Linked DNA regions of Nothobranchius furzeri. The main gene of each other region encodes a partner of the protein of the gene in region 3 in a complex. Links are inferred from orthologs where the notes say so. Each region holds a gene or a part of one and is shown on either strand. Other genes may lie near its edges. The genes, in order: cacnb3a, cacnb1, dihydropyridine-sensitive L-type skeletal muscle calcium channel subunit alpha-1, cacnb2a and stac3.

The links.
Region 1: dihydropyridine-sensitive L-type skeletal muscle calcium channel subunit alpha-1 (region 3) and cacnb3a share a complex: the UniProt entries of both Homo sapiens proteins name them as parts of the calcium channel complex. The link is inferred for Nothobranchius furzeri from reciprocal best matches to the Homo sapiens genes CACNA1S and CACNB3.
Region 2: dihydropyridine-sensitive L-type skeletal muscle calcium channel subunit alpha-1 (region 3) and cacnb1 share a complex: the UniProt entries of both Homo sapiens proteins name them as parts of the calcium channel complex. The link is inferred for Nothobranchius furzeri from reciprocal best matches to the Homo sapiens genes CACNA1S and CACNB1.
Region 4: dihydropyridine-sensitive L-type skeletal muscle calcium channel subunit alpha-1 (region 3) and cacnb2a share a complex: the UniProt entries of both Homo sapiens proteins name them as parts of the calcium channel complex. The link is inferred for Nothobranchius furzeri from reciprocal best matches to the Homo sapiens genes CACNA1S and CACNB2.
Region 5: dihydropyridine-sensitive L-type skeletal muscle calcium channel subunit alpha-1 (region 3) and stac3 share a complex: the UniProt entries of both Homo sapiens proteins name them as parts of the calcium channel complex. The link is inferred for Nothobranchius furzeri from reciprocal best matches to the Homo sapiens genes CACNA1S and STAC3.

Annotation. Positions count from the first base shown.
Region 1 is NC_091755.1:54,935,624-54,942,269, forward strand, and holds the start of cacnb3a (voltage-dependent L-type calcium channel subunit beta-3a), read right to left. Parts: upstream 4,092-6,646; 5' UTR 3,953-4,091; coding exon 3,872-3,952; intron 2,751-3,871; coding exon 2,658-2,750; intron 1-2,657. UniProt on the Homo sapiens protein: Regulatory subunit of the voltage-gated calcium channel that gives rise to L-type calcium currents. Increases CACNA1B peak calcium current and shifts the voltage dependencies of channel activation and inactivation.
Region 2 is NC_091745.1:12,110,488-12,117,322, reverse strand, and holds the start of cacnb1 (voltage-dependent L-type calcium channel subunit beta-1), read left to right. Parts: upstream 1-2,721; 5' UTR 2,722-2,857; coding exon 2,858-2,944; intron 2,945-6,835. UniProt on the Homo sapiens protein: Regulatory subunit of L-type calcium channels. Regulates the activity of L-type calcium channels that contain CACNA1A as pore-forming subunit.
Region 3 is NC_091755.1:26,877,385-26,884,072, reverse strand, and holds the start of dihydropyridine-sensitive L-type skeletal muscle calcium channel subunit alpha-1, read right to left. Parts: upstream 3,835-6,688; 5' UTR 3,610-3,834; coding exon 3,425-3,609; intron 1,337-3,424; coding exon 1,231-1,336; intron 1-1,230. Other genes in the region: proton-transporting V-type ATPase complex assembly regulator TMEM9, read right to left, coding at 5,503-5,643, 5,738-5,869, 5,956-6,064. UniProt on the Homo sapiens protein: Pore-forming, alpha-1S subunit of the voltage-gated calcium channel that gives rise to L-type calcium currents in skeletal muscle.
Region 4 is NC_091747.1:46,809,242-46,816,107, reverse strand, and holds the start of cacnb2a (voltage-dependent L-type calcium channel subunit beta-2a), read right to left. Parts: upstream 3,797-6,866; 5' UTR 3,178-3,796; coding exon 3,094-3,177; intron 1-3,093. UniProt on the Homo sapiens protein: Beta subunit of voltage-dependent calcium channels which contributes to the function of the calcium channel by increasing peak calcium current. Plays a role in shifting voltage dependencies of activation and inactivation of the channel.
Region 5 is NC_091755.1:32,737,511-32,742,984, forward strand, and holds the end of stac3 (SH3 and cysteine-rich domain-containing protein 3), read left to right. Parts: coding exon 1-44; intron 45-217; coding exon 218-374; intron 375-453; coding exon 454-551; intron 552-663; coding exon 664-724; intron 725-2,043; coding exon 2,044-2,141; intron 2,142-2,349; coding exon 2,350-2,419; intron 2,420-2,550; coding exon 2,551-2,600; intron 2,601-2,669; coding exon 2,670-2,752; intron 2,753-2,839; coding exon 2,840-2,891; intron 2,892-2,962; coding exon 2,963-3,100; intron 3,101-3,386; coding exon 3,387-3,494; 3' UTR 3,495-3,921; downstream 3,922-5,474. UniProt on the Homo sapiens protein: Required for normal excitation-contraction coupling in skeletal muscle and for normal muscle contraction in response to membrane depolarization. Required for normal Ca(2+) release from the sarcplasmic reticulum, which ultimately leads to muscle contraction.

The DNA.
Region 1 (6,646 bases), about 28 Mb from region 3:
TCTGGGACAGGTTGGGATGCCATTTTATCTCTTTCTTTTGCAGAAACGGGCCACACAACAACGTGCCATTTTTAAGGGAACATATGAATCCTTCCCAGATCCTGTCCTGTTCTGATGTGAATCTCAGAGATCTAGTGATTTTGGGTTATCTTTGTATGCACGGTCCTTCTGTAGCTCAGTGAAACCTTCACAGACTCCTCACAACCCGGTTTGACGAGAATCGGCTCTCCCCTTTAGGAAGCCCAAAACCACAAATCAGCTGGGCTTTACACCGACACTTGAATCAAATGAACGGTTTCTCTAAAGAAACAAACAACCAGTGCACTGTTATAAAATATATTCCTATTAAATCAGTAGGTTTAAAGTGATTATGTACATTTTCCCTGGCAATAGGGGGCAGTACATACCTACAAGCAAGCAATGTTTTTGTGTTCAAGTAAGAATTTACCAATGGATGGCCATTAGGGTCAAACATCCCTGGAGCCCAACCTCCAGCTAAATGACACACACGCCAGACTCCCTTTCATCACTGGCAACGACTGAAGAAGTAAATGTGTAAAACGTTTATGAATGGTGAAAGTTTTCTAATCGTTTGTTACAAATCAGTAAATGTATTTTTTATATTTTACTTTGTTTTCATTTTACAGCAAAACGTGTGCAGATGGGGGCATTTATTTGCATCCGTTGCAGTATAATGATCGGTTCACCAGGGACAAGGGCACGCCACTGGGCAGCCGTGGTCAAATGAGGTAAGTCTGTTCTATTTAATGATTTTCTTTCAACAAGGAAGGACAGTGTCCTCGTAAGCAAAGCGCCTTGACATTGAGAAATACCTTAAATAGACCCACTCCCATTTATTTTAGACTTGATTTTTATGCTTATATGTTACATCCTGGCCATGGAACTATGGACCAGCTCTTTATCCTTGCTAGGGTGATGGAGGGGTCATGGAAGTTTGTCCAACCAATCCACATGTGTTTTGTGGATTTGGAAAAGGCTCATGACCGTGTCCCCAGAGGCCCCCTGTGGGGGGGCACTAAGGAGTGAGGGGTGGATGGTCTTTTGTTATGGGCCATTCAGTCCCTGTACCAGAGGAGTGTGAGTTTGGTCCGCATAGCCGGCAGTAAGTGGGACCTGTTCCCAGTGAGGGTTTGACTTCGCTAGGGCTGCCCTTTGTCACCAGTCCTGTTCACAATCTTTATAGACAGGATTTCTGGGTGCAGCCGTGGTGCAGAGGGTGTCGAGTTTGGTGGCAGGAGAATCTCATCAATCCTTTTTGCGGATGATGTGGTCCTCCTAGCTTCATCATGCTCCGACTTTCAGCTCTCGCTGGGGAAGTTCACAGCCAAGTGTGAAGCGGCTGGGATGAGGATCAGCACCTCCAAGTCTGAGACCATGGTTCTCAATCGGAAAAGGGTGGTTTGCCAACTCCCGGTCGGGAGAGAGGTCCTCCGTCAAATGGAGGAGTTTGAGTATCTCGGGGTCTGGTTCACGAGTGAGGGAAGGAGCGAGCGGGAGATCGACAGGCGGATTGGGGCAGCATCTGCAGTGATACGGGCGCTAAACTGATCTGTCGTGGTGAAGAGGGAACTGAGCTAGAAAGCAAGGATCTCAATTTACTAGTTGATCTACGTCCCAATCCTCACCTATGATCATGAGCTTTGGGTGATGATCGAAAGAACAAGATCGCGGGTACAAGCAGCCAAAATGAGTTTTCTTCGCTGGGTGGCCAGGTTCAGCCTTAGAGATAGAGTGAGGGACTCGGACATCCAGGAGGGACTCGGAGTACAGCCAATGCTCCTCCGCATCGAAAGGAGCCAGTTTAGGTGGTTTGAGCATCTGGTCAGGATGCCTCCTGGACGCCTCTCTCAGGAGGTGTTTTGGGCATGCCCTGCTGGCAGGAGGCCCCCGGGTTGACCCAGGACTACCTGGAGGAAATGCATCTCTAGGTTGGCCAGGGAATGTCTGGGTGTCCCAGCTGAGGAGCTGGCAGACGTGGCTGGGGAGAGGATTAGCCTGGGAGGCCGTACTTGGGATGCTGCCCCCGCGACCCAGATAAGTGGAGGGGGGGAAGGTGAGTATGTTTAAATTGGGCATCAATAAATTCATTTTCAACAACATTTTGATGGATATTTCCAGAGACTAATGGTAAAAACTACACATTGTCATTTTAAATGAGGTAATGTTATAATTAGCAGCCATTAAAACCACCAGAATGGAAGGTTTTGTTATATTTTCAGTCTCAGAAATTCTCTTAAATAACACAAAATCTTCACAAGTCTCCCACATGTCTGACCTGAAAACATTCATTAAAACTGGGCTGTGATGGGATGTAACATATTGCTGCTTTACAGCATTTTGCTGTCCTCTACTGGGTAAAACAACTCCTGCAACACAGGAAGCAATGCTGTGCAGTGATGAGGAAGAACAGGAATGATCAGATCAGAGACATGTTTGGTGACTCATTTTTGTAAAACTACAAGTTCTGCAAAATGCTATGACAAAACACCAAAGGAAAACATGTTCTGATGAAGTGCTTGGTCCCACTCTCACACAGCATGACCTACATTTTCTATAGAAACGTTATTCCTCCCACTAAGGTTTACCATCCGTGTGTCGCTGGCAGCAACTAGCATTGAACAAAGAGGAGCGCTTACCTGCCGCTTGATGAAGCTGGATGTGGTGTCAGATGATGTGCTGCCGTCAGAGCGTTTGAAGCGGCTTTTACGTTTAGGCAACTTCCTGGGCAGCTGTGTGGAAAAGACATGCAGATGTTGAAAGGAAAAAGTCAAAGAAGAGGACGTTCTGTTCTGCTCACAAGTCTGACCTGAAAACGTTAATTAAAAACTGGGCTGTGGTGGGATTTACTGCTTTAGCATCTGTGCAATTGCTGCAGCTCCTAATTGTTTTATTTGTGAGTAGCGTTTGTAATTTTAACCAGCTGAAATAGACCTGAGCGTATGGGCACTGTTTTACCCCAAAGTCTTGTAAATGTCAAGTTTACCTAAAATAGAGCAGACCTCCCTTTTGAATACGTTAAATAACCAATATGGAACTCCACTACATCTATGCAGCCAAATCCATATTCATTTCATTTATTCAGGAAATCTTTTGAGATCATAATCTCTTTTTCAAAGGTGACTGGTGCAAGCTGGCACCCCAATAAAAGTTAAAAGCTCAGATTTCTAAATTTACCAGAATTAATAAAAGAAGTTCGGTTTTAGTCCTTAGTTATACACAGTAGAGTCTAAAAAGAGCATTGCACTCCTCCAATTTCCTGTCTAATAGCAAAAATACTAACAAATTATATATATATAACAACTGACACTCTCTGGAACAAGTACTTCTTGTAATCGGTCTATAAAAAGATAGATTTGCACAAATAACACACATCTGAGCTCTGCAGCATGGTTTGAGCTACACAGAAGCACCTCGCTGATTCCAGGCCCCAACAGGTGAGCCGCAACCACAGACATAAGGCTACAGCAGGTTTGTCGTTTTAACACCGAGGGAAAAAGCCGTCCGTCCGTCCGTGCTGCTGCCTGCTTCTCTGCGTTGATGTAGACGAGACGAGGCAGGAAATCATGCTGAAATAAATAATAAAGCATCACTGCCACAGGCCCGATCTGAGAGTCGGGACCGAATGGGCAGATTTGGGGAGATCTGCGGAGGTGTCAGCCTGTTTCTCTGCGGGTGTGACATGTTGGAGCCTGCCGTGCGGGCTCACAAGCTGCGGTTTCACTGAGGTTACAAAGGGGGGAGAGGAGAAGTACGTGTCCCCCACAACAAGTAGCGTTAGAGATGTCAGCTAGTCGTTTCTAAAGACTTCAGCCGGTCGGGGAAGCGTTGGGAGAAAAGTGAGCGGATTTACCTGAAAGTAATGCGACTGGGAGCCCGTTTCCACAGCAGACAAAGGGTCTACGGAAGATTTGGACATTTTGACTTGCATCATCTATCGACAGCGCAGGGAGGCGGCGGGAGGAACACGGACATGCGTTCCTGGAAGGAGCGAGAACGGGAAACAAGCACATAAATGCATGCAGTCCAACTGAAAACAGGTGTGGGGGAGCGGGAATAATATCCAGAGCGAGTAGAGTAAAGACGAGAGAACGGTTTCGGATAAAAAGGAGGAAATGAATCGTGAGAGGAGGACCCACGGGTGGCTGGAGCTAGATAATGTTCACACACCGAATAGTGTATCCCACTGCCTCCTGCATGCTGATGGCTCCTGCTTAGCACACAAGCACAGAGCAGTAAAATAGAAGGAATGAGTTCACGACTTACGTAGTTTGTATAATTTGACTTGCGTAGTTTGAATAATTGAAGGCGTTTCTGTTATTTAATTATAACTATGCTGTCAACGCTGATTAAAAGCAGTAGTCATTTTAAGTGTGATGTTTTATTTTGAAAATTATGACAGGAAGTACTGATGAGTTATGTCTTATTTAACTTAATGAATGTTTGTAGTAACCGCTTATGTCCACCAGATGGCAGAAAAATCCCTACCGTCGAAAGTTAAGGGACTGATTTCCTGTTTCCATCCAGTTAAAAATATAAATGTCATACTGACAGAGTGTGGCTATAAATGAAATAAAAAGTACATATTACAAGTGATTAAATTAAATGTTCACTTAGACATAAAACATATGAACCAGAACCACATTTCTACTCTGATTCTGGTTGTTATAATTGCATTTGGTTTTCTTTTACTTATTTCACCGTCATTGTGAAATCCAAAAATATGAATGTTTTTTTCCTGTTTACAACAAAAATATTTACTTATTTAAATCTCTCTCTCTCTCTCTCTCTCTCTCTCTCTCTCTCTCTCTCTCTCTCTCTCTCTCTCTCCCTCTGTGTGTGTGCTTATTGAAGCTGGGTAATTATTTGTCTTGAAATAATAAATGATGAATGAAATATTCTGATTATACGTTTCAATTTTGAACATTTGCCCACCTAAAGATAAGGATAAAAAACAACAAAATAAAATTGAAAAATACACATAATAATAATAATAATAATAATAATAATAATAATAACAATAACAATAATATAATATTAATAATAATAGGAAGAAGAAGAAGGAGAAGAAGAAGAAGAAGAATGCCTAGAAAATCCTGAAGAAATTTTAAAAAGGGACCTGCCACAAGATAGTGTATAAGTTAAACATAACTCTTGAGAGGCCCTGCCATGTTATTAATTAATAATGTGCGTAATTTATATTTATGCTAATTTTAAGCAAATGGAGAGGAAGAATAATAATAAAGAGAACAAATCCTCCATAAGGGCCCCTGCTTGCAGCAGCTACCAACAACAACAACAATAATGATAATAATAATAATGATAATGTTAATCCTTCTTATCATGGTGGAGGAGTTTGAGTGTCCTAATGATCCTAGGAGCTTTGTTGTTTGGTAGGGTCTCCCATGGCAAACTGGTCCTAGGGCAAGGGTGAGACGAAAAGTGGTTCTGAAGACCTTTCATGAACACTACATCAGAGAGTTTGAGTACCCGACTCGGAGGGTTACCGGGGTCCCACCCTGGAGCCAGGATTGGGGTTGGGGCCCATGGGCGAGTTCCTGGTGGTCGGGCTTTTGGCCATGGGGACCGGCCGGGCCAGCCCGAACTGCAAACATGGGCTCATCCAACTGTGGACCCATCACCTGCAGGAGGCACATGAAGTGTCTGGTGCATAGTAGATAGGGTGGCAGACCCAGGCAGGAGATTTGGCGGTCTGATCCCCAGACAAGAAAACTGGCTATTGGGACATGGAATGTGACCTCTCTGGCGGGAAAGGAGCTGGAGCTTGTGGATGAGGTTGAGCAGTACCGGCTAGATATAATTGGACTCACCTTGACACATAGCTATCTGCTCTGAAACCCGAGTCCTTGAGAGGGGTTGGACTCTCTTCTTTGCTAGAGTTGATCCAGGTGAGAGGCGGAGGGCTGGGGTGGGATTTTTATTAGCCCCAAGACTCACTGCCTGTATGTTGGGATTTACCCCTGGGGATGAGAGGGTAGCTTCCCTGCTCCTTTGGGTGGGGGAACGGGTCCTGACTGTTGTTTGTGCTTATGCACCAAATAGCAGTTCAGAGTGCCTACCCTTTTTGGAGTCCCTGGGATGAGTGTTAGATGGTGCTCCGACTGGGGACTCCACTGTCCTGCTGGGGGACTTCAACGCTCACGTGGGCAATCTCTGGTGCAGAAGTTACTGAGGTAGTCAAACAACTACACAGCAGTGGAGCCCCAGGGGTGGATGAGATTCGGCCTGGGTATCACATGACTTTGGATGTTGTAGGACTGTCATAGTCTCTGCAGTTCTTGTGGAGTGGCAGACTGGGGTGGTGATCCCCATTTTTACGAAGGGTGGCCAGAGGGTGTGTTCCAACCATAGGGGGATCACACTTCTCAGTCTCACTGGAAATGTCTGCTCTAAAGTACTGGAGAGAAGGGTCTGGTCGGTCGGATGAGCAATATGGTTTTCATCCTGGTCGTGGAATTGTGGACCAGCTCTTTTGATGGAGGGGTCGTGGGAGTTTGCCCAACCAATCCACATGTGTTTTGTGGATTTGGAAAAGGCTTGTGACCGTGTCCCCAGAAGCACTCTGTGGGGGTGGGGGTGCTATAGGCATATGGAGTGGATGGTCTTT
Region 2 (6,835 bases), on a different chromosome or scaffold from region 3:
GAGTTATTGAAAAATAGCTCCTCTGGGTTTAACTGGTCAATCTCACCTTGTTGGTGTTGGGAGTTAATGAATGACCCGAATCAGACTCAGTGGAGTCAGTTTAACACATTAGACACATGTAGAAAATGTTTTTAAATTGAAATAACATTCAGATAAAGATTTACTGGAATTAATAATGAAAATTTTTGTGTGAAGTTAAAATCAACACATTTTCTGTTACAGGAACTAAACAGTGAAAGTTGCCATTTAAAAAAATTGATACAAATAAAAAAGTACAGAAGAGGACTAGGCCGAGGATACCCTCGTCGGCTGAGTGAGCTGCGGTCAGAGCGTTGGCCGTTGAAATGATGAAACAGTGCTCCCATATGTAAAATCCTTCCTAGTTATAACTCTAGTTCAGCTCAGCATGATTTAGAAGACATCTTCAGGGTCACGGCTCCCAGAGCTGAATTAAATAAATGGACTACACTAGGCAGGCTGCATTTTTTGAGTGTGAACTTATTGTTTGTTATGCTATTTGAACATTAATAAAATTATTTGAAAAATAATTAATAAAACCAGCAACACTTACCAAGGAAACCATTTAGCATGCTCCACTCCGGGATAATCTTCAACCTTCCAGCATCACAGGGCCTCAGTCACAGCAGAAACACGTCTAAAGAAATGTTCCTTGGTTGAGCTTCGGTTTATGTCTCCAGATTTCCTCTGTGATGCAGAGAAATATCCAATATTTTGAGAGGGATGGTTTAGTGCAAAGTACTCACGCATCCTGTCATCAGTTTGGTACCACTGCAGGATCAGATGAAGCTTGTTAACACCCTTTCTGGGTCTAGAGGCTCCTGCTGCAAAACTACATTGGGCTCACTTCTGGCTGGCTGCTGTTCTTCCAGTTCGTCCTTCTGTGACGGCGTTAGCGCAACAGCGTCTTACGCCGCATTTCCCGCCACATCTTCGGGTCGTGTCTCCTCCGGGTCTGGCTCGGGCCCGGCCTTTGGCTCTGCTGACCTATCGCAGGTTCACAGCTGTCGGCCGGCTGCCCGAGCAGCTCGACAGAAACTTCTGTAAAGCTCCCCGCTGTCTCGTCTTTTGTTCCTCTTCATTTTTTTTCTTTTTACATTTTGACGCACCTGAAAGCATCGTGAAAGTTAGCCTACTCAAAAACTCCTGCTAGCTTTGTTGTGTCCCGCTCTGACTCTGACCGCTTCACCGACGCCCTTAATTAGGTGGCGCCCAAGTTGTAAGCTACAGTCATGGGCTGGCGTTAATGTGACGTAGCTAATGTAACGGTCTATGTTCAAGATAAACATTGTCACTATTTTTAGTTAATTAAAAAATATTGAAATAAACTGTAGATATGAGTCCTATCTACAAATTCTATCATAGGACATTTGTACATTTTATTTTTGATTTATTTATTTTTAATTTTGTCCCTCTGTCTGGGCCCCATCCAGCCAATCAGGCCCTAGGCACGTGCCTACTTTGCCTTTGCGTTAATCCGGCTCTGACGGCTCCACCATTATTTATGACTGTTCTTTGTGGCCAAACGGCAGGAAATGCCTTTTATGCTTATGTATGTATGTATATATACATATATATATATATATATATATATATATATATATATATATATATATATATATATATATATATATATTCTAGCTATTATTAGGAAAAGTGAATATACAGATTAGTACAGTTCTGCTCAGTTTAATGTGAAAGGAAACTAAATTAAAGTTCAGCATGAATTCTGTTACCTTAAAATATTTTACGCAATTATTGTTCTCAAACTGAATCATTTTTAAAAATTAAAAATGGGAAAACACAAAATTCATGAAAGGTAAAGCTGAAATGAATCTTTACACGTGTTTGTCTCTGGTGTGACGTCAACACTCCTACTCTGGGGTCAACCTTAGGTCACAAATGGAGCAGGGTCTCTGGGTAGTCTCACTCAGCCTCTTCAGACTCTGATCCAGGAGAAAACTAAGGACAGGCTGAGATGGTTCCTTCTGTTTTACAGGCAGCCCCGCGGGACTCTGGGGAGGTCTGAACACCTCCAGCCTGTCATGGAGCTCTGCTGCGGTCTCATCACTCATCACCGTAAAGGTGGGGTCTCTTCACTGGGGCGTGGACCTCGGCTTCCAGCTGGAGGCTGATGAGCGCACACAGGAACAGAGAGGGCGTCAAGAGGGATGAAAAACACAAGCACGGCAGTAGTTGGAGGATGTTGCCTTCAAAATAAAAGCACACTCTGCTTCTCAAGGTGCTTGTTTGGATCTGGATTTTCAGTCTCAAATGTCTCTTTGGGTAGCTCGTTATTAACATTCATTCACCCTCATTGTAATTCTGTCCATGATGCTGTGTAATAAGTTTTATTCGATTTCCACGTATTAAAGATTGATAAACATGGCAAAAAACAAACAAAAAAAACATGCAGGGCAACTGGGAACACTGTGGTTTGAATTTTGGTGTAGAATTTTCATCATTGTAATAATAATAATAATAATAATAATAATAATAATAATAATAATAATAATAATAATAATAATAATAATAATAATAATTATTATTATTATTATTATTATTATTATTATATTAAAAACTCTTATTCTGTAACCGGAAACGCTCTTGCGTCGGTGCGGAGCCCTCCCAGCCTGTCGGTACTTGGTGACAGTAGCTGAAGGCTGGAGGAAGGCAGCTGTTGCCATTATTTAACCAACCAGCTCAGAAACATCAGCGGCTTTTCCTCCTTCCCTAGACGAGAAATAAAAAGATAAAGTAAGTAAAATAAAAAAGATGCGACTATCAGCACCGTCATAAATTAACAAGACTGAAAGAGATTCCTCGAAACTGAAATCAAATGGTACAGAAAAGTAATAGTATGTCCAGGACGCCTTCGACCCCCAACCAGGAGATCCCCATGGGCATGATCGACCACCATCCACAGGTAAGAACCACAGAGACATGTCACCTATCGCCTCTTTTCACTGTTTACACGTTGATGATGCTCCATTCCGGAGATTAACAGGTTGTTCTTCGGTCTGCTGCTTGTGCGCGCGCGTTACAGCTGCGCTTTTATTTTCTAATAGAGAAATGGGGTTTGTTGTTTTATAGTCGATCATTTTGTACGTAGGAAACAGCAAGTCTGTTGGCGCTTTAAGCACAAATGAAACGCCTGTTGTCTAACACAAATTAACCGGAATGTACCACGTAGACGTCCAACGAGTTGTTGATCTGAGTAAATGATTAAAATCCTTTAGGCTACACATCTGATCGGCATGGTAAGCATTTAGGGAATTACTGTAATCTGCAACTGTTTAAAGATAATTAATGAGGATTCTTGTCTGTATGTTTTACTGAAGCATGCACTAAACTTAACTAGCCAAAATAAATAATAAACAGGAGGTGTATTAATAAAAATGTGAGTAATAATAATAATGATGAAGATAGTAAAAGAAACACTTAACTGAGAAAGTAAAACTGCTGAAAAAGTGGGCAAAATTTATATTAAAACTAATTTGGATATATATATATATATATATATATATATATATATATACACACACATATGTATATATATATGTATATATGTATATATATGTTATGTATATATACATATATATATATATATATATATATATATATATATATATATATATATATATATATATATATATATACACACATATATATATGTGTATATGTGGGCGACGGTGGCACAGGAGTTAAGTGCTCGCCCCGCAATCGGAAGGTTGCAGGTTTGAGCCCCGCTCAGTCTGTCGCTGTCATTGTGTCCTTGGGCAAGACACTTAACCCACCTTGCCTGCTGGTGGTGGTCGGAGAGACCGGTGGCGCCAGTGCTCGGCAGCCTCGCCTCTGTCAGTGCGCCCCAGGGCAGCTGTGGCTACATTGTAGCTCATCCCCACCAGTGTGTGAATGTGTGTGTGAATGGGTGAATGACTGATTGCGTTGGAAAGCGCCTTGGGGGGTTCCAGGACTCTAGAAGGCGCTATATCAAATACAGGCCATTTACCATTTACCATATATATATATATATATATATATATACGTGTGTATATATACATATATATATGTATATATATGTATATATATGTATATGTATATATATATATATATATGTATATATATGTATGTATATATATATATATACATATATATATATATATATATATATATATATATATATGTATATGTATATATACACACGTATATATATATATATATATATATATATATATATATATATATATATATATATATATATATATGTATGTATGTATGTATGTATATATTATAGCCCAGTTTGCCCATTAAAGTATACACCAAATCATCCTGTTTTTTCTATTTTTATTTGCCATGCTTTAATGACACTGGTCTGTTGAAAGGTTCATTGAAGCGCTGATGGTTTGGTTGTTAAACAGTGGGCATGTTTAGTCATGACTCTTTAAAGTGATGTTTTTTAAATTAAGATGAAAATATCTAGAACAAACACACCCACACTGAGATCAGTCATTGTGTCTCTAGAGAAGAAAAACCAGCTCATCACAGACAACCAGCGTTTTAAACCATGCCAAGTCCTGCTCTCTCCTCTTTACTCCCACTCTTCCCAGCTCCCTCTCATCCCTCAGCTTCTTCCACATCTTCTGTGAGTGTCCCGCTCACTCTCGCCATCTCACCTCTTCATGTCTGCTTTTAGAAATCAGATCTTTTATCAGCTGAGAGGGAGCAGTGAGAAACAGATGGACGACCTCCTGGTGCAGGCAGCGTGGCTTTCTGAGTGTTTTTATGTGTGTATGACACCTCCCATCAGTCACACAGCTCTCATGTTGACGTGCAAAAAGTTACACTGTTTTTATGCATTTATAACTACGACAAACAGAGAAAATAAAACTAGAACATCTGGAAAGAGATGATGTGAGAAATAGAAATGACTTGTGGGTGGAGAACTTGCTTGAATTCAGAACTGGGCGTGTCTCAGATTAAAGATCCTGTCTGCTGACCGCAATCAGATTGCAGGTGAATCTCTGAGCAGAATGACAGAGGATTCTCCTGTAAAAGCAGAAAAATTCCTTGTCAGTGTTTTACCACCTCATCATGCAGCCTCTTTAATTATGCACTTATCTGAGAGGATGTTTACCAACAGGAAGCCTCCACACCCTTTCTCCGCCCTTTCCTGACAGGAATCAGAGATCCTTCCTTAAGGCTGATTCATACTGACATTGCTCCAGCATGTCGGATCTGTTGGATCGCCATGATGTGGCGTCGTATGGGCGATCCAACAGTGTTGGGTCGTGTTGGAATGTCGGTTGGAGTCGAGCTCTATTTTCTAAACATCGGACAGCGGCGTTGTATGCATGGGCGTCTGTTATTGGTCAGCCAAACAACCCAACGTCATTTCCGGCACGACGTAGCTTACCTTAAAAAATGTAAACAGCACGAGTGTTTACACAGTCCTGAAGACTCGTTCTCGCTGTGCTCTTTCTAATAATAGTTGTTGTGTCACGCTGTGAGTTGGGGGAGGTTAGGACCCAAGATGCAGACACAGGATGACACAAGGCAGGAGTAGTGAAAACGTAAAAAATCCTTTATTTAGGGGTAAATTCAAAGGGCTGGAAGCCAAAAACCAAAAATCCAAAAAAACCAAGAGTCAAAACCCTGGGAACATCCAAAAACACAAGAGACCTAGAGAACGTCAAAATACCTAGAGAGGGGATGAGCAAACGCTGACACAAACAATGGACCAACAACCACACTGAAGGTTATATCAAGGGCTAGGTGAGTAGGGAATTGTGCACAGGTGAGACCAATAAACAAAGGAAGAGCACAACGAAGCAGGGGAGGAAACCAGACCTAAAAATGGGGAAGGGCGCAAAATGAACTAGAGGGAGAAAACAGACTAGATAAAACACTTAACAGAAGACTAATGATAAAAGGTGTCTAAGGAAAAACGTAAGGGAAACCTAGAGAGCCTGGAGGGGGTTGGGGAGACACCGGGACGCTGAAACCTGGGGGGAACACCTAAGGGGAAAAAACCTGGAGTGGTCTGGGGAACACAAGGAGGCACATGAGGAGGGATGCAGACAAGGAGACACATGAGGGAGACGCAGGACGCAGACCATAACATGTTGTTCTTCTAGCTCAAGCAGCTCCTGCTTCGCTCTGTGTCGCCCATCTTTTCGCGTCGCAAATAGTAAATACCGTAAATCCTCTAATATTAGCCTGTATTTAATTAACTGCTGGGTATCATATTTTGGTCGGAGTCGGCGGAGGTGAATAATGGCCGTGTTTTTATTGTGGCCGGGTGGAATGTGGAAACAAGCAAGTACGGGGGCGGCTGTGTTATCCGTTTCACTTTTGATTTGCCAGTGATAGACCGCGAGGGTAACTTTAACCGTGCGGAGACGAAGAGGAGGCGAAAATTTAATATCAAGTTCAAAGAGAACGTGCTGATTATGCTGCAGAACACTCTGGGGAGCAGTAGCAGGGGTTGTATGAACTAGTCACTAGTCGACTTCACCGCTCTATAGTGACTTTTTATGCCTGTCATCGACTAGTCGCTGTCACGTGATAATGACCGGCAAGATGCAGTCCACGGAAAAGACAGCAGCCTGCTGTCAGCAGGTGACAAGCTCCTGCGCGTCGGGAGGCAACGCGCTGTACCAGAGCGTCGGTACTGAGACCCGCCGTAAAACGGACATTTAACCAAATTGTGACGTTTACCCTCTTGCAATTTAACCTTCCCCTCACCCCCATCCTAACCTTAACCAGCTTGCGCATGCAATGCTCTGATTGTTGACGCGCTCCACACATCTGCGTC
Region 3 (6,688 bases):
ATACAACCTCTGTCGTGCTTTTTTCTTCATTGTTTGGTGCTTTATTTTATTTGCTGTTTCGAAAAGTTTCGAACTGGAAAACCTGATTAGACGCAACTTGGAAAGAGACGAGTGCTTTAAAATATGCAGCAGATGATTGGCTAAAGCATTTGTCAGTCAGTTGCTAAGTTTGTTTTGTGGTCAGAATTAAAACTTGACTTCAGGTTTCAGTAATACTGATGATTGGACCACAATTTTATATTTTCACTCTAAGTTACACCGTAGAGCAAAATCTCATAATCTTGAGTGTAAATCTTACAATAATCCATATTAGCCTTGGGTTCATCTATTAGTCCTGCTGGTTTTAAAGAGTTTTCTGTTGGTGGTGATGCTCATGTTTACATCAACAACCTCTAGTCCTTTAATAGGCCGAGTCTTTCTATCCTGGGATTATAACCGCTTCTGGACTGACTTGCTTTGATGAAAATATAATCTGATTTGGAAAGGATTTCAAGGATTTTTTAATATTTCTAAAACATTTCTGATGCTCTAATAACTCAGCATTCTCTCACATTGAGATGAAAAAAACCACAAGGTTGTTATAACTCCTTTAAGTCATCAAAAACACCAAAATCTGAATCCAAGTCGTCTAAAATGTAATTATTAAACATACAAGTCTTGGATTTTTTTCCTGATTTTGTTTCTTCTTCATTTATTCTGTCCAAAAAGGCCAAAGCAATTCAATATTTTATCATTAAGACTGCTTTTGCTAATTGAACTAATGGGTGTCACAGAGACTAAGCAGGTTTTTATTTGCAGGATTTACCTCAGATTTATTTTCTGACATTTAACACACCACCCACCACTCCGTCGCAGTGAAAACACACACCTAAGATGCTGAAAGACAATTCTTTGGACACACATCAGCAGAAACACGTCTTTGAAATGAGAGACTAAACCACCTACTGCCTTGTTGTGCTTTAGGATTTAGGGCAGAAAACAAAGCAAGTACATCTTAAATTAATGCAGTGAACTTTTCCATTCACGTGTTCATTGGCTGTCCCTCTGCAGACACAGATGGGACTCCAAATAAAGAACTGAGTTGTATTTAGAGGCCTTTAAATGGGGCTGAAGGGCAGCTGCAGCCCTTAGCCACTGCAGGTTCAAAGCCAAAACCTTCACGATGGATGTTTCTACAAAACCAGCCACTGGAAAACAAATGAAAGCGTTTCTATGTGTACATCAGCCTACCAATCTGGAGTTGGTGTTGTTGCTGTCTTCTTCGGGCATGGGCAGGAACACAGCCAGAGCAATACAGTTAGCAAAGATGGTCAATAAAATAATGATCTCAAATGTTCTGGGTGGGGGAGTTAAGGATGATGAAGCGGAGAATCTATATGATAATAACCAGCTCATACACACGCTGACAGAGGGACGGGTGAGTGTTTTTGATGTAGACAAGGTGTGTTTTGCACGTTTTAACCAAACATAAAGTAGACCAGCAGCTCTGATCACTGGCTTTAAATCCTGCCTGAAACACCATCCCTAAAGCAGCTCGTCGGGCGGCCGGCGTTGCTGCTGCAGCTCCTGTAATCCTGTCTGCTGTGCTGCCCCATTCTCATCCATAGGGGGCTCTCTGAGAAAATTCCCCTGCCAGGTCAGCATTATGTCTGTGTGATGCTGCGGGACAGCTGCGAGGCCCAAGAATATGACAAACCGTTTAAACACGGACGGCTCATCAGAGGAAAGAAATCCCTGGTTATGTTAGCAGATGTTGGTTTTATTCACACGTCTATTTCTACTGAAAAAATTTAGAGCAGCTGATCAGTTTCTATTACTCAGTTCGTGAATGGTTGCTGCTTTTACAGCATCCAGACCATAATGATTAACATGGTAATGCAACACATTTGGCAACAAACAATAAACTGTAATTTTTGGTGATTTAATAAGAGAAATGTTTTGAAATGATTGAGATCTAATAAAGATTTCCTATTTAAAGGGTTATTTTTAGATTTTGTGTAACTGATTGATTTAAAATGGTGGGAAAATTATGCTTTATGGAGCTAGGACTGGGACAAAATTACGTGTAACTTGTACCAAGTTTTGTGACTTGTAACATGTTTGAACTTGGAACACCTTCTTTTTGTTACTTGCAGAAAAAGAAAATCACAATTCTCAAAACACACATCTCAGTCTACAGTCACAAAACATTTTGTCCCAATTCTAGCTTCCTTCCCCAAAGAACCAATGAAAAGCTTTGTCTTATCAGTCAATCATGTGTCTCGGATATTCTGCTCTAATTGAAAATGTAAGTTCATTATTTACATCAGTTTAATTTCTCTAAAAATGACTGCCACCTACTGTTAAAGAGTGACAATGTAAGTTTGGTTGTGAGCCGTACAACAGACCTCTGCCCTTTTTGCCATGATTGGACAGGAATCTAAAACCTGGGGCACACTGAAGACAGACACGCCGCGCAGCGGTTTTGGGAAATCAAATTGTCACACAGGAAGCGCCGCCGAGCGCTTCTCGGAAAGTCAATAATCACAACATCATGCGGGACTTGAGAAAGTGACTCTTTTGTTTTTACATGCTCAGACTTGTCGTGTTGTCAGACTCTACGTACGCTATTTATTAGAATATTTTAAGATCAATAGTACTTTAAAGTTATCAAAACTGTGGCTGGCTTTGTGCCGTAAAGCCGTTCAGCGTCTTATCTGTTGTAAAGTACTCCACAATATTGTAAACAGCCACGCCACGGAAGCACCACAGCGCATGAAATAGAACTGGTGCCTATCTTCAGTGCCTCGGCGTTGCGCTCCCCGTGTAGTAATTCTCAGTAACTATAATGGCTTCTACTTAAAATGGCGGCGCGGTGCATCTGTCTCCGGTGTGCCCCAGACCTAAGATTGGCTGGTCAGACAAGGCTTGTTATTGGTTTTTTGGGAAAGGAAACTAGAATTGGGACAAAATATTTTGTAACACGTAGATTTAAGTTTTGTAACTGTAAACCTTTAGTTTTTTTATTTTGAGTTATTTGAAACTTGTACATAGATTTTTTAACAAGTTACAAAATGAAAGTTTCATGTTACGTACCAAAGATTAAATGTTATAAAATTAGAATTATGTGTTACAAAATAAAAGCTATGTGTTGCAAAACGTTATTTACATGCTACAAAGCAAAAGGTGCTGTTACAAAACATGTTACAAGTTACATGAAATTTTGTCCCAATCCTTGCTCCATAGTACATCTGATCATGTTCTCTCTGTTCTACAATCTTCATATGTTCCTTATTATTTATGACATTTTTGCTACGAATCAAAAGTGTTTGAACACTTAAACCACTTCTCTGATGACATCAGATTTAAATAATGTTTGATCACAGCTGCTGTTTTCACCCACGGGTCCCAATAAAGTGTAAAAGGTGTGATTTTGAAAGGATACTTCCACTCCACGATGTTGGTGCACGCCTTGCGGAAAGGATTTTTTAGTGAGAAGAGGAAGAGAGTTCTGGCAGGGCGAGGATTGCCCCCCGTGGCCTGCAGCTTCTTCAGCTTCTCCCTCTGCTTCCTCTTCAGTTCCTCCTCGTTCATGATGAACGACTTGTTTCCCTCTGCGTTGGCTGCCATCCTGATTCCTTCACTTTACACAAACTTTAAATTCCAGAAAATACGTTTCCTCTTGATGTAAAATCCCAAACTCTCTGATGCAGCATGTAACTTCCTTTAGTGGCGCCCCCAGGGCTCCAGATCAGCCTCTCTTGTGTTGGTCTTCCTCCTGCTGCCCTCTTCTCTGGCTCCCTCTCTCTCCCCTGGCTGAGGGCCTCTGACAGAAAAAAGCTCACCCCAGCAGAGAAAAATAACAGAAGCTCAGGGAAGCTGGAAGAAGAGAGCAGTTGGCCTTGCAGCAGTTTAAATTTAGATTGTGAACCACTGGCAGGCCATGCTTGGGGATGGTTTAGAGGGCAGAGTGGAAGGAGGGGCAGCAGAGAGCAGAAAAAACAAGGGGATTAGGGGGATCATCCTGCAGCAGCAAACCAAATCTAAAGTGTAAACAATGTGGCTCTTTTGGAAAATATTCTCCTGGGAGCAAGATTTGAATTCCACACTTATTGAAGTGTTTGCATGAAGGATATTTTGTTAAATGAGAAACTTTGATGATAAATCTGGCTTTCACATGCATACATTTGCACACATGAATTATTAAATATAAGCATTCAATATGTTCTCATGCTGTAATTATCAGTAGATGATGCACGTTTGGTGCAGCAAAACAGTAAAAGGGACCTCCTTCCTTTTAATAACGTAGGAAGGATGTTTATTAATTACTTTATTTAATTAGCTACATAATTCTGGGAAACAAAAAATGTTCATTAATTCACATAAAAATATTTTTACTTGTATTAGTTTTATGCAAACCACACACGTTGGATGACATCTGCTCTCTGACATGTTAGTGGTAACGTCATCGTGGCGTTTATTTTAATGGCGGTGTACTCTGTCGCCCCCTGGTGGCAGATAAAATAATTGCTTGTACTAAAGATGAAGTCTCCAAACATCTGAAAGAATGAATACACGTTTTTTTTTCTTACATTTATTTAAACACTTAGCCCAAGCCTGAGCTTTGTTGAGTCAGGCTAAAGATAAATATGCAGCCTGAGGAAAATAAAACTAAACATGACCACATCCTGGAACTGATTCTGTTTTATTTCATCTCTTGGGGGAATAGATTTTTATTCTTCCATTAAACATTCCATCATGTGATCTTATAATGATTGAGAGCGGCCGTGCGACACATCGGTAGAATTTTTTCCTCATCTAAAAAGGTTTCGGTAACTCTAAATATTTTACATCAAATTAAGAAACAAAACAAAGACAAAAATAAACTCCATTAGGAGTAAAAACTGAAACTTCAGATGCAGAATTTCATGCAAAAGACCACAGATTGTGATGGTTTGATAAAATACATTTTTGCATCAAAGAGCTGGAAAAATGGACAATCAGTTTCAAAGAAGCAACAGAAATTTAACCTACCCAAAAAATAACGATCCTTAGTGCAAACAATGAAAAAGTCTGAGTTTAAAAACAATAAATTACAACTAAACTAACATCTGTAGAATCCTGTGAGCAAGCTGATCTGTAGAAACAACTTCTTCTTTAATCATGCAACACTTTTTTATATATATTTACAAATATTTTAAAAAGGATGACAACCCTAAAATAATTTAAATCTGAAGCAGCAGCATTGACATTCCTAGAAGCGACTGAGAAAATGTACTAATGGCGTGTGCAAAAGATGTTTACGCTCCACTCAGCTGGCTTAGCTTACAGTAGTTACCTTATAAATTATAAGACAATGAATTAGACGAACATGTGAAATGTTTTAAAGTGAGGAAACAGCAATGCAGTCAAAGCGGTGCTGATCAGTGACAACCAGGTGTGTGATAACTCAGCTGGTGACCGTGTGACAGCACAGAACTGGGAAGGTTGCATCCTTTAACCCTTAAAGCCTTCAACAGAGCTCTAACTTAGCAACTTGTGCCGGTCGAAAACAGTCTTGCGCTGTTCCTGCACCTGCTTCTTCCAGCGCTGCTGTGCCCCTTCAACTCGCTCCAGAACTGTGTTTCCTCTGGCCGACCCGCTTTCTGCACGAGGACGCATCTCCTAAACACACACATAAAAACTGTTTCAATCCACAGCTTTGTAAAAACTGGAATGTACCAGATGCTCGAAATGTGCCGTTTCTTTGGTTGGTCACCTCGGAGTCTTCCTCGTTGTGCAGAGGCTGAGTGTACGGGTCGTGCTTGCGGATCAGTGGATCCACCAGGAGCAGAAACAGCATGTAGAGGAGCAGTGCACCCACAACAGACAGGTAAATGATGATGGTTACCTGAAACATTTAACATAAAGAACAAATAACGTTTAGGATACTGGGCTAAAACAGAAACAACCAAACTCAGAGACAGTCAGCTGTACCTTAATGGTGTTGCTGCTCCGCTCCTCATATTTACATTCACATAACAAACAGTACGCTTCCACATCATGACCAGGAACTGGCATGGGCTCCACTACATGGAGGCACGTACTGTAAATACATGAAAACGTTACGTTCATTGGGCACATCACGGTTATAGAATATAAACAGATTAAAGTCGGGCTGGATTATATCTCTTTGGAACAAGAAAACAATTAATGAGGTCAAAATTTAAAAATGATTCTATCTTATTAAAGGAGTCATCACAAGTATCTACGTCATATTAGGTCATAAACATAATTTGTATTGGAAAAAAAAAATCAAAAAGTGCTTTTCTGACCCTTTTTTTTGTAAAGGACGTTTTCTCGCGAGAGCAAAGGCGATATTTTGGCTGTATGAAAAGGACATTAGAATAATGCAAATGAGTTGATTGGTGGAAGGAAGCAGGGGTGTTGACACCATATGTTTCGCTTCAGCATCTCTCTCCAAAATAAAGTGCCTGTGACGGATAAATTCTGCCTTACCGTTTGAATTTCAGGTAAGTTTCTCAGTGTTGGAATCTCCCCTCATTCTAGATGAATCCTCAATGCCATCTTCGCCTGATATAGCCCCAAAAGTTATAAAGCATTCTGGCTTAAAATGGCTAGCACAGACATCGAGAGTAGTGGGGAGAGTTTCAGGAACAGCCATCCACTTTCAGCTGCTTAGCCGGAGTCGGGTCACTGAGGCAGCAGC
Region 4 (6,866 bases), on a different chromosome or scaffold from region 3:
ACAAAAAATAAAGAACAGAAAAAAACTTAACTGCAGCGTTTTTGACAAGCTTGTCTTCATTCTAGCTTTTAAAGTTGCTTCTTCTATGTGGGAAGTGCTATTATTTTTCAGACTGAACTTAAAAATCCTACTTTGCAAAACATAAATGTTCTTTATTCTGATAGGATGTAGGAGTAATTTACCAAACATCAATCTCATGGTTATTTCAGTAGTTAAGGGTTTCATAATCAATGTTAAATAATTCTGGTATCGCCTGGTCATAGTAATTATGTGGGTGGTCTACTTTGCCATAAAATGAGATGCCTAATATACAAGAACTCATCCAGCATTTGTTGTCAATAGCAACTGTAAAGTAGAAATACATGTTGGTATTTTATTCCAGCCCAAAGCCCCAGGACGTGTTAAACATGAATACAAAACAAAGGCTGGTCATGTCAATCATTGTTATAATGGAGCCAGACATAAACAAATACACACATTTAATGCTAAATGCACATATTGCAAATACTCATTACAAAGCTCAAACAGTCTGTGAAAACTATGATTTTTTTGCTACGAACACATCGTTTGGCCAAATTAATCTGTTGAATTAGCTGTTTGTTATTCAAAATATAAATTTTAATGAAGGTAATCAAAATCAGACAAGAAAATAAAAATGCATTACATGGAGAAGTGTATAAAATAATATCTGTCGAAGTGACAGTGTGCGTTTTTCCTGGTGATAGGGGGCTGTAGATACCTAAATCGTTGCAAACAAGCAGTATTTTTGTGTTGGAGTAAGACCTCACCAACGGATGCCCATTACCCCGGCTTTCCACGGGAGCCGTCAGCAGCACGTTACTGCAGCAGCACGTCATAGCTGCTGATAGGAACCGCTGTGGTCAACAGAACCTTTTCCACTGGAGCCGTCGGCAGCCGTCAGCAGCGCGAGTCGGCCGCGTCTCAGGAGCAGCATGTCGCGGCCTTTACGCGCCGGTTCTATTTTCTACGCGCGACGCCTCTGAAACGGGTCAAGTTCGACATTTTTGGGGAAGGAAAGACAGGAAATCGGACGCGGAAATGGAGAGAAGCTACAGAGATTTTCAGAATAAAGAACGTACTGCCTTCCGGTTGCTTTACTTTTAAAAAAGGTTACTAACTGTGCGTCCCCGTGAGAAGTTATCACCTAGCTAGCGGTCTCCTTTGTTTTTCAGGTCCGTATTGGCGATTATAAAACGGACAGAACATAAAACACAAACCATGTTGTAGTTTTCTCCTGCTTGTTGTTGTGTTTACTGATGAAGTCACTCGTGTGACTTCGTGCTCTGTAGGTGACAGCTGCTCCCCTGCTGCTTCGCGCCTCGTGGGAAGGGCCAAGCACCAGCTTACGCGAGCAAGACGTGCTGCTGCAGTAACGTGCTGCTGACGGCTCCCGTGGAAACCCGGGGTTAGGGTCAAAAAGCCCTGGGGAGTGCAAATTTTCGCAAAATAACAAGTGCATCAGACTCCCTTTCATCACTGAAAACAACATTTAAGAAGGACAAACGTTTTGTAACCGTTTGTTACAAATCAGTAAATGCATTTTGTCCTCATGGGCTCCTGTAGAAGGAAGCATGGCATCTAATATGGTGTCGCCCAGAGACATAGACCCACTCCCAAGTATTTTTATGGTTATATGTTACAAAGCCGTCAATATTTTTCAACAACTGGGCATCATTTCATTCATTTTCAACAACAATTTGATGGATATTTCCAGAAATGAATGGTAAAAACACATTGTCTCTTTAAAGTTATCCCCCAATGAGTCACAACACACCCCTGATGAAACAGAAACATTGACCTAACTCACGTGCTAAAATGCCTAGAAAACGCTAAATATAGGGATGGTCCGATCTGATCACGTGATCGGAAATTGGGCCAGATCATGAGATTTTAAGAAGTTTAGAATTGGGTGAAAAAGATCAGATTATATCTTATAAAACAACAAATATAACTTTCTAATTTCATCCTGAAACAAGAGATATTCAAACGGAACAAAAATGGTTTGGTTTAAATTTTTATTTCATGATGTTAACATGTTTTTAATCAATTAACTTCCTAAACAAGTGAAAGTGAAATGTAAAGGACAACTTTTTCTTTCTTTATTTTATTTTAATGCTTTTCTGAAAAGTATTGGATCAGGACTCAGTATCAGCAGACGCTCTAAATCAAATTTCTTGGAATCGGAGTAAAAAAACTTGATTGAGATCTCTCTACCTAAATCCTTATTTGTTGTTGCTCTATAAAACATTGTCCAACTGTTGCAGAATTTCATTTAAATGTAATTTCATGTTCACTAATAACATCTGGGCAGCAGTAGCTCTGTAGGTTGAGCGAGTTGCCCAGTAATCAGAAGGTTGTTCAATCCCAGTTTCCACCAGAGAATGCTGCTGTTGTGTCCTTGGGCAAGACACTTTACCCGACTTGTTGGCTGGTGGTGGTCAGAGGGACCGGTGGCGCCAATGCTCGGCAGCACCAGGGCAGCAGTGGCTACATTGTAGCTGACCAGTGTGTGGATGGGTGAATGACTGATTGTGTTGTGAAGCGCCTTGGGGGGTTGTAGAACCCTAGGAAGGCGCTATAATAAATACTCTAAATCACCTTTATTTAAATGTCTGACTTTAACTTTAAAGTTAAGATTTTACAGTTAGTGAAATTCAGAGTAAAAATGTGCTTTCTTTAACTGATGTTTTTAGTGACATTTTTGCATTAAAAAAGGTGAAAAACATTTAGATATCGGCCCATAAAAACCGGCAGCACACATGACCATCGGCCGACCATGTCTCCTACAAATTGGGATCAGCAATGGGAAAACTATCAGTCGGACTCTAATTTCAGGCGTTAAACTCATAATTCTGCTCTTAAAAATCAGAATTTGGGCATCAAAGTTATAACTCTGATATCAAAAGTCAGAATTCTTATAACGCTTAAATTCGGAGGTCAAAGTTCTGGGATTAAAAGTCATAATAGTTGTTTTTTCCCCCCTGAATTACGAGACGAATGAGTAATACTTTTTGGGACAGAATCACGGTTAATATGAACATCCGTGACTGAACCAAACTGAGACGAACTCACCTGTAACACCAGGTGTTCTGCGCTCTCCATGAGTCGGTCCGGAGCTGCTCCTGCTTTAGTTGTCGGACTGTTGTTGACGACCATTAGGGAACGCGAACAAACGCGTTCACCAGGACCGCTTCGCTGGAGGAAGAAGCTGAGTTCTGGCTGAAATAAAAAACAAAACTCATGGTGACGCCGTCGAGGAGAACGGAAACGGACACAAGGCGCCGCTACAACCCAGCGGGCATCGAGATGTTTGGTGTTTGTTTTCCAAATGAAAAGCCTTCAGCATCTGAAAGCCTGCTCATCAGATCAGCCCTTCCCACACGGACTGAGACCCGCTGCTCCTCTTCTCCAACTCCTCTGCCTCCTCACCTGATCAAAGGATGGGATGAGTTGCAGCGTCCAGGTGAAGGATGAACAAAAAAGGAAAAGTGCAAGTCATCCAACTGACAAGTGGAAATATAGGATAAGACTTTGTTTATTTGATAGTTTGTACTTAAGGTGGTACACCATCAATGGGAGGGGCCTGTTCAGAATAGGCATTTAAGATGAAACTCAAACATTTTGAAAATGATGCAAAACTTCATCTTTGTCAGTGATACAACCTAAAAGGTGAAACTTATATATGAGGTAGACTCATTCCATGCAAAGACAAATATTTTAAGTATTGATTTGTTATAAATTAGATTATTATGGATTACAGAACATGAAAACCCCACTTTTAAGTGTCACACTTTAATCAGCTAATATATCCAAACACCTGCAAATGGTTCCTTTAGATGGTGTCTCAGTCTAAGGTGACTTACTGACATAAATGGACTTTTGCATTTTAGTTTCACCTGTAGGGTCACTCAGGTCACCGTAGACTTCTTTTTCTCCTGTCTACAATAAATACAGCAACTGGACTCAGAAGAAAAAGAATTTGGCCCTAAAGAGTAAACTGGATCGCATAAAATCTAATAAACAAGAATGATTGCTTGAAGAACCTACCAGTGGTTAAATTAGTTGAAAAGCATAAACTTATTATTAGTGTAAACGTTTTTGTACAACTTCATCCACTTCCAAGGTGAAAGAAAAGGGAAAACAATCTAATCTTGGTGATCCTTGTTGCTTTCATCAGTTAGAAATTATGTTTTCTCTTAAATATCACACACAACCTTTACCCATCCGACCCAGCTGCAACCATTCTCATGCACAATTTTAAAACTTTGAAGGTTCTTGTGGTTGTGTGATATTTATATTCCTCCACCTGCTCTCTTCCAGCTCACCTGACTGGACCGATGCATCCTTAGGATTCACTGATCGTGTTTCTGCTGCTACTGAATTAACAGGTTACAAATGTGACCACAACACCTTGGTTATGATTCTACGTCCAGTGTTAGCGGCGCTTTCCTACCTGCTGCTGTTGCGTTTTCCCTTTAATTAGATCATGTAAATTATCGGTTCAAAGAACAATATATCTAATATTTGTTCTTGTATTTTTCTGTTTCTGCAGACAATTAATGCAATATTTTAGATTATTTCACAAATTCCTATAAGAATCAGAGCGTGAGTCTATGTTTTTAGCCTATAACCTGTGTGACCCTTTTAATTTATAACCTGTCTATACAGCTGCATCAAACCTACATCAAAGTAAGTAGAGTATGTTTGCTGTTTTTCTTGGTTTGACAAATAAAACACATGCAGAAATTGGTTTAGCTGATATTTTTTGCTGTTCGTCATTGCCCCCTGGTGGCTGTGTGTGAATTTGCATGTAACTAAAAAGGGCAGTGAGAAATCAGTCTGTTTGTATTTTAGAGTTATTCAAATGTATGCAATAAAAAAGAAAAAAACTAAATGTATATAGCAAGTGCAATACCCAGTTTAGCAGTTTTCTTCCCCACATTATCCACGTATTTCTTGTTTTATCATTTTTAAATGTTCATCTCTGACTAACACGGTTTCGTCTCAACATCTCACAGATGCTTGTGGTTGTTTTCAGCAGCTAAATTAAACCACTGCAGAAAGACCAGCAGAGAAACACATTTGCAGACTCTTTAAAAGAGCACATCTGCAATAGGAAACAATCAATAGATCTAGTGTCGTTTTGTGTGACAACGATAACAGGTGCAAAAGAATCGCCATGCATAGACATCTCTTAGATCCAACGGGAAATATTTTTATGTTTCCTGTTCTTTTCTGCTGCCTCGATGACCCCCAAAGCTGAGCTCATATTTTGACAGAGCAGTCAGCGGACACATCAACATGCCCCAGATGAAAGCCCTTCCTTCCTCCATCCTGACAGCAGCTGCCTTGAAGAGATGCACACATGTAAAAGAAAAAAAAAATGGCATTAATGCTGCCAAAGAGCAGATTTACACACAAACAAGTGTGGTCTGGTGCTTTCCTGGAAATGCCAATGGGGCTGGTATTTCTAAAATAACAGCAAATTCGCTAGAATAAGAGAAAATGTGATGGACTTCCTTCTATTGTTTCAACATTTCTCAGGAAGTTGCAGTAAATGGTATCAGCTTTTTAAGACGTGACAAATAATCCTGCAATGCTGTTGATAAAACTGACTTTGTAGTTTGACAAAGAGCAGAAGGGAAAATTAACATAATCACTGTGCAATGAAACTAATCCCTGTAGCACAAATGTAGATGCTCGACAGCTGTTTGTTCAAACGTGTGGACTGCACCGGATTTCAATCACACCAAACTGATTAAATAATCCTCTCAAGCCCACTCACATGGTCAGTTTCACAAATCCAATTAAATAGGTTGATTTAGTTTGTTTTATTGTGCTGATGCGTTCATCGTTCTCGCCTCTTCTTCTGCCTCCTTCTGCAGGCCCACTTCCACAGCCAAAGAGCGCGTGCACTGTGTGGGTCGGAGTTTCTGTCTTGTACAGTACCCAGCATTAGTCACCCAGGTTGGTAGATGAGGAGAACAAGCAGCTCAGGTGGGTGGAAATGCCCTCATATTGGATCACAGTAAGACCTCAACAAAACACAGAACAACAATGCTTTGGAAATAAGATCAGTTCTCAAAAACGTGGCCTTATAAATAGCTACTAATGCCTCTTAAAGTAGGCCTACATTGAAGTTTTCATCAAGAATAACATAAAAAGTCTTCTAGAAAGTACTATATGTAATTCTGGTGCTTTTTTATTAGACGTTTCTTTGAATTTAAGGGGTGCTTTTACACTCAACAAAAATATAAACGCAACACCTTTGTTTCTGCTCCGATTTTTCATGAGATGACGTAAAGATCTAAAATTCATTCCAGATACACAGTATTACCATTTCTCTCAAACATTGTTCACAAATCAGTCTAAATGTGTGATAGTGAGCACCTGTGCTTTGCTGAGATAATCCATCCCACCTCACAGGTGTGCCACATCAAGATGCTTATCTGACATCATGAGTAGTGCACATGTGTACCTTATACTGCCCACAATAAAAGGCCACCCTGGAATGTGCAGTTTTTTGCTTTATTGGGGGTCGGGGGACTCAGAACCAGTCAGTATCTGGTGTGACCACAATTTGCCTCACGCAGTACAACACATCTTCTTCGCATAAAGTTTATCAGATTGTCAACTGTGGCCTGTGGAATGTTGGTCCACTCCTCTTCAATGGCTGTGTGAAGTTGTTGGATATTAGTGGGAACTGCTAGATGCTGTCGTATACGCCAGTCAAGCACATCCCAAACATGCTCAACGGGTGACATGTCCAGTGAGTATGCTGGCCATGCAAGAACTGGGACATTTTCAGCTTCCAAGAATTGCGTACAGATCCTTGCAACATGGGG
Region 5 (5,474 bases), about 5.9 Mb from region 3:
ATCCTCCAGCCCCTGACAATGTAGTGAGGGAGGAAGGAGACACGGTGAGTGGCAGCACCACGTCAACCACTCGCTATTAGCAGCCGTTCTCAGGCTGATTAAAATAGCCTCCAGCTGGGACGGGACTGCAATATGGTGTTTGTTTATATCTCATGAGTTAATAAATAAGTCCTGATCACCTGTATGGAACTGTTCTCTTCTTCGTCTTTGCTTGCAGGTCTATTTTATTTATGAGGAGGAGGTGGAGGTAGAGGAGAAGGAACCAGAACCTCCTTCCGAGCCCATTGTTCGGATCAATGACAAACCTCACAAGTTTAAGGACCATTACTGCAAGAAACCCAAGTTCTGTGACGTCTGCGCTCGCATGATAGTCTGTACGTGTTTAACCCAGAAAATATCACGAGACATATTTTGAGATTTATGATGATTCGGTTAACTTTGCACATCTCTTAGTGAACAACAAATTTTGTCTGAGGTGTAAAAACTGCAAGACCAACATCCACCATTCGTGTCAGTCCTATGTCGAGTTCCAGAAGTGCTTTGGAAAAATCGTGAGTTTTCTCTCTCTCACACACATTTGAATTTAAATGTCTAAAAAAGCACTACAGGACTAAATGGAAGGTTTTAGTTGAAATTTTTTCTTTTTTTTTCTTTGTCTTGTAGCCACCTGGCTTTAGAAGAGCCTATAGTTCTCCTCTGTACAGCAGCGACATCCCAGATCCAAGTGAGTCCATCAAACCTTCAATCACTCCTAGAATTAGTAATCCTTTATTTATTACTGCTAAATCAGAGTAAAATAATTAAATTTTACGGTGAATTCTTTTAAGCAGATGTGTAAAATTAGTAGGGAGGTCGGAAATATCGACATCAACATCATATCGGCTGATGTTTGTTTTTTATCTGTGTATCGGTCCAATAAGTAAAACTTGGCTGATACTTTCTTCCATCTAGTTGCTATTGTTGTATCTTGGAGAGAGATGGTCATGCAGTGAATTTTTAATCATGTCAATCAGTCAATCAATCAATCATTGAGAGCAATCTACAATTTATAATGGTTAGAAGTGCCCAATGTTGAAAAATCTTCCTTACAAAGGTGTAATTATATTTTAGGGATGTCCGTTACTAACAGCTAATGTTGGCATTTAAGGTGCATTATGTAGAAATGAAGTAAATATGACAATCTGTGGTAAAATCTGGTTGCTGCAATCACTTTAAACAACTCTGGAGCTTTTTGCCGGCCGTAGTCAAATTACAACTATCGGCGCTGCAGTATTAGCTCGCAGGAGACACAACAACCCCACACTTGTCATGTTCTGCGGGTGGTGGGTTTCAGGAGGCAGATGAGCAGGCAACGGATGAAAAAATTAAAAGATGTTTAATCGTAGACTGGGAGCAACAGGACGAACGAACATGCACAAACGACAATGAACCGACAAAGACAGCAACAAGGAGGGAGGTATAAATACACAAGGGAATCAGGAACACATGGGCAGAGTAATGAGGGACAGGTGAGAACAATAAGGCTAATCAGGGCAGGAGAGACACAGTCAGGGAGGCCGGGGCGGATCATGACAACACTCACTGGTAGTAAACACTAGTTACGTCCATCTTTCCTTTGTTTTGAAATGAGATGAACTGACAATCCTCACAGCCAGCTGGATATGAAATGTGTTTAAATATAACCTTCCTTCTAAAATGACCAACACTTTTTGGATTTTCTCACTGTAGATTTTTCACTATATTTTTACATAGTGCACCTTTAAAATGTAATATCAGAAATAATGAGTTGATTTTCACTCTTTTAATGACACAACTTTTACATGCCATGTACATATTAAACATCAAATTCTTCAGCATGGTCTAATAATAGCCATTTAATATTAGCCCATTTTTTGTATCAGTGCATCCCTAAAAATTTGAGATAAAAAAATCTAATGTTTGTAATGCCTGGACTATAGCATTTTCTACAGATTATTCATTAAATAAAGCTTTATAATTGAAAGTGCTGATATTTTCTGGCCAAAATTTTCCATCCGACACCAGACAACCCAAACCGAAACGACCCAGTCTTTGACACACTGAGAGTTGGTGTCATCATGGCGAACAAGGAGCGCAAAAAGAATGAAAATGACAAGAAAAATGTGAGTATTTACGATGAGTTTCATCAATAAAAACACAATAAAACACATTTCAGAAACACATCATTGTGTAAAACAAACCCAACAAAGGTATGAAAGCACACATTTGAAAAATAATTGATTAAAGCAGATGCACTGCTCAAAATGACTTTAGGTAACTTCAGAATATTGTCAATAAATCACAACATTTATTCACTTATATGTGCTTTAGATGATGATGATGATGGAAGAGGAAGAGGAGGAGAACCAGCAGCCCAAAGAGAGTGAGGAAGCAGGAGAAGGTAAGAAAATGTACCTTGGTAAATTACACAATAATTGCTATTAGGCATAAATCTATGAAATTAGTTTTCTGCAAAGAAAAATGATGGCTGTTAATAAGTTTCACGAACGGACTTGGTGACTGTTCGCACAGGAAAACCCGAGGATAAGAAAGAAAAAGGAGGAGACAAAGCAGACGAGAAGGTCAAAGCAAACATTTCATAAGGATGCATTTTGTTTAAAATCTCCATAATCTGTCATTTTTGTCAACAGAGTAAGGGAACATTTACCGGGTCCCACTACTACCTGGCTCTCTACCGCTTCAAGGCAATCGAGAAAGACGATCTTGACTTCCAGTAGGATTAAAGGATAGAAATGACATCATAAAACAAAGCCTTTGTCTTGAATGTGTCTCAAACAAACATGATGTGTCTGTTTATTAGCCCTGGTGATCGGATCATAGTGCTGGATGACTCCAATGAAGAGTGGTGGAGGGTGAGTTACGGAAACACGCTGATTCCATACGTGTCCCGGCAGAAGATTAACTCAAACTGTCGGATTATCAGGGAAAGATGGGGGAGAAGACGGGCTACTTCCCTGCCAACTACCTCATAAAAGTACGAGCATCAGAGAGAGTCTACAAGGTGACCCGCTCCTTTGTTGGCAACAGAGAAATGGGACAAATTACGCTCAAGAAAGATCAGGTGACCTTCTAAATATACTCAACAACACACGTCGAATCAGTTTTGTTGGATTTGTTTTGCTTTTAAATGACAAGTTGGGTGAAGAATGTACCACTAAACTTATTTCTGTATTTTGTTGAAGACATCCAATGAAATGACTTTAATGAACCCAATCAAGGCTAAAAAATGCTAATAAAATTGTCTAAATGCTAAAATTCTCCATATGAGGCAACAAAATGCATCTTCCACTTACAGATGTTTGAAATCAACACTGGTGTCATGCTGCTCTGCTGTCACTCTCTTCCAGATTGTGGTGAAAAAAGGTGATGAGAAAGGAGGATATTTGAAGGTCAGCACAGGACGCAAGCTGGGCTACTTTCCTGCTGATCTGCTTGAGGAGATAACTGTGACATAAACACCTAAATATGCAACAACATAAATGGCTGAAACACATTTTAAGTGGTCAGACACCTGGACACACCTGGTCAAAAGATTCATGTTTGTTACCTAAAAATTATAAGTTACCTGTTGTGTTTTTGCTGTGAAATTAATTTTTTGCCTTTGACACACAGGGTGATGATTTTTAATAGTTTTATTAATATTTTAAATAAAATTGTAACGTTGTAATAGAATTTATTCATTCACAATCTGGAGCTGCTCCGACATTCACGAAGCATCTTTTCTTACAACAATCAAGGTTTGATGTTTAAAGACATTTCATGTGGAGTGGATGAACAACAAGGATTAAAATTGTGTTTTGCAAAAGTAAAAGAAATTGAAATTGTCTGTTTTGCAGAAAATAGTAAAAAAATAAAAAAGAACTGGCAAGTCTGCAAAAATGACACTAAATGTAATGATTTCTTTTGCTGGATAACATTATTTGTATTTTTGTGACTTTGTCCCATTAGAGTTTATTTATTCATGAGTGGATTGAACACTGATGTTGAAATCAAATTTAATTAAAAACTGTCTTAATAAAACCGTACAGCTGAAGACAGCCTTCTAAAAAAGAATCTTATTAGACTTAATTAGAAACAGATGTTAGATGCAAAAGCTGCCTTATTTTGAAATAGTATATAAACCTGGAAAATGCACAAAAGACAGAATAACTTTTTTTTCCTTTAAAATAATTGAACTAAAAACTAAAACGTTTAATGTGTAAAAGTAATAAATGCTATGGTGTTTGTAATTTAACCCTAAACTGCTACTGAAGGTAAACATTTATTTTTCTTGGTATTTCACAGTTAGAAACCAGCTAATCGATACTGCCACCCAGTGGCGGTTCTACATCGAATTACTCCCCGGGCGAGGCCCCCTTTGAGCCCCCCCCCAACCGCCCCACCACCACCACCCCACCTGCACGAACACACGCATGTTTTCTACAAACAGGCATGTTTATTAGAGCGACTATTGAACATTCATTTTTCTAAGTTGCACATATTTACATTAATTACTATGAAGTTGTCAGAATGTAAAGCACTATACATTATATACTGTATTAAAATATATAGAATCAAATATACAAAAACAAACAATAACTAAATATTAAGAATATATGAACATAATAGATAATAAATATTCTAAATAGCAAAAATATTTCACACATAACAAACTAAAGATAATCACTACAGCATTGCACTTAGAACAGAAAACACAAACTAAAATTAAAACCTAACCTTGATGCAACGTCATCAATAATGTCATCACATGAAATCTGCTCCCCTACTGAGTGATTGATACTAATCAGAGCCAGGTTAGTGAGCCGCCCCTGAAACATAGCTGACCTCAGGTATGACTTGATCAAGTTTTGAAAAGCTCCGCTCAGCTTGAGCCACAGTGACTGGCAGAGCAGTCCAAAAGTTGGGGTAGATCTCCAATAGATCTCATGATCCATAATATTTTAGAATTGCCTCTGAAATTGTAATTTAAACTGTCATAAAAATAACTGTAGACTACCAAAAATGCCAACTTTTACAGAACAAATCATGTAAAATAATCAGTGCAGCCATCTGCAATAAATAAACAGGATAGTTAGTGGTGACTGGGGTGTTTTCTTCTGCTTGTAGAGTTGTTTTATTTATTATTATGTGAACATGATCAACATGTGTTTGTTGTTTTTCAGGCAGGCCACAGGCTGCAGTGAGCATTTAACAAATCCTAGTTTGAATCAGTAAAAAACGATTCAAGGACTTTTTTCGAACCATTTGAATATTTGTTTCAATATTTCAGCCCTATTAGCTCTGTTAGCAATTAGTTGACCACATTTAACCGTTAAAATCCCAGTTAACTGGTTCAAAAAATTGAAAACATGCATCATGAGAGCTACATACCTTTATCTTTCTCCTCTTTTTTCTTTTTTTTCCCCCTGAATGGGGCACCTGGTGGTTTTAGCCTT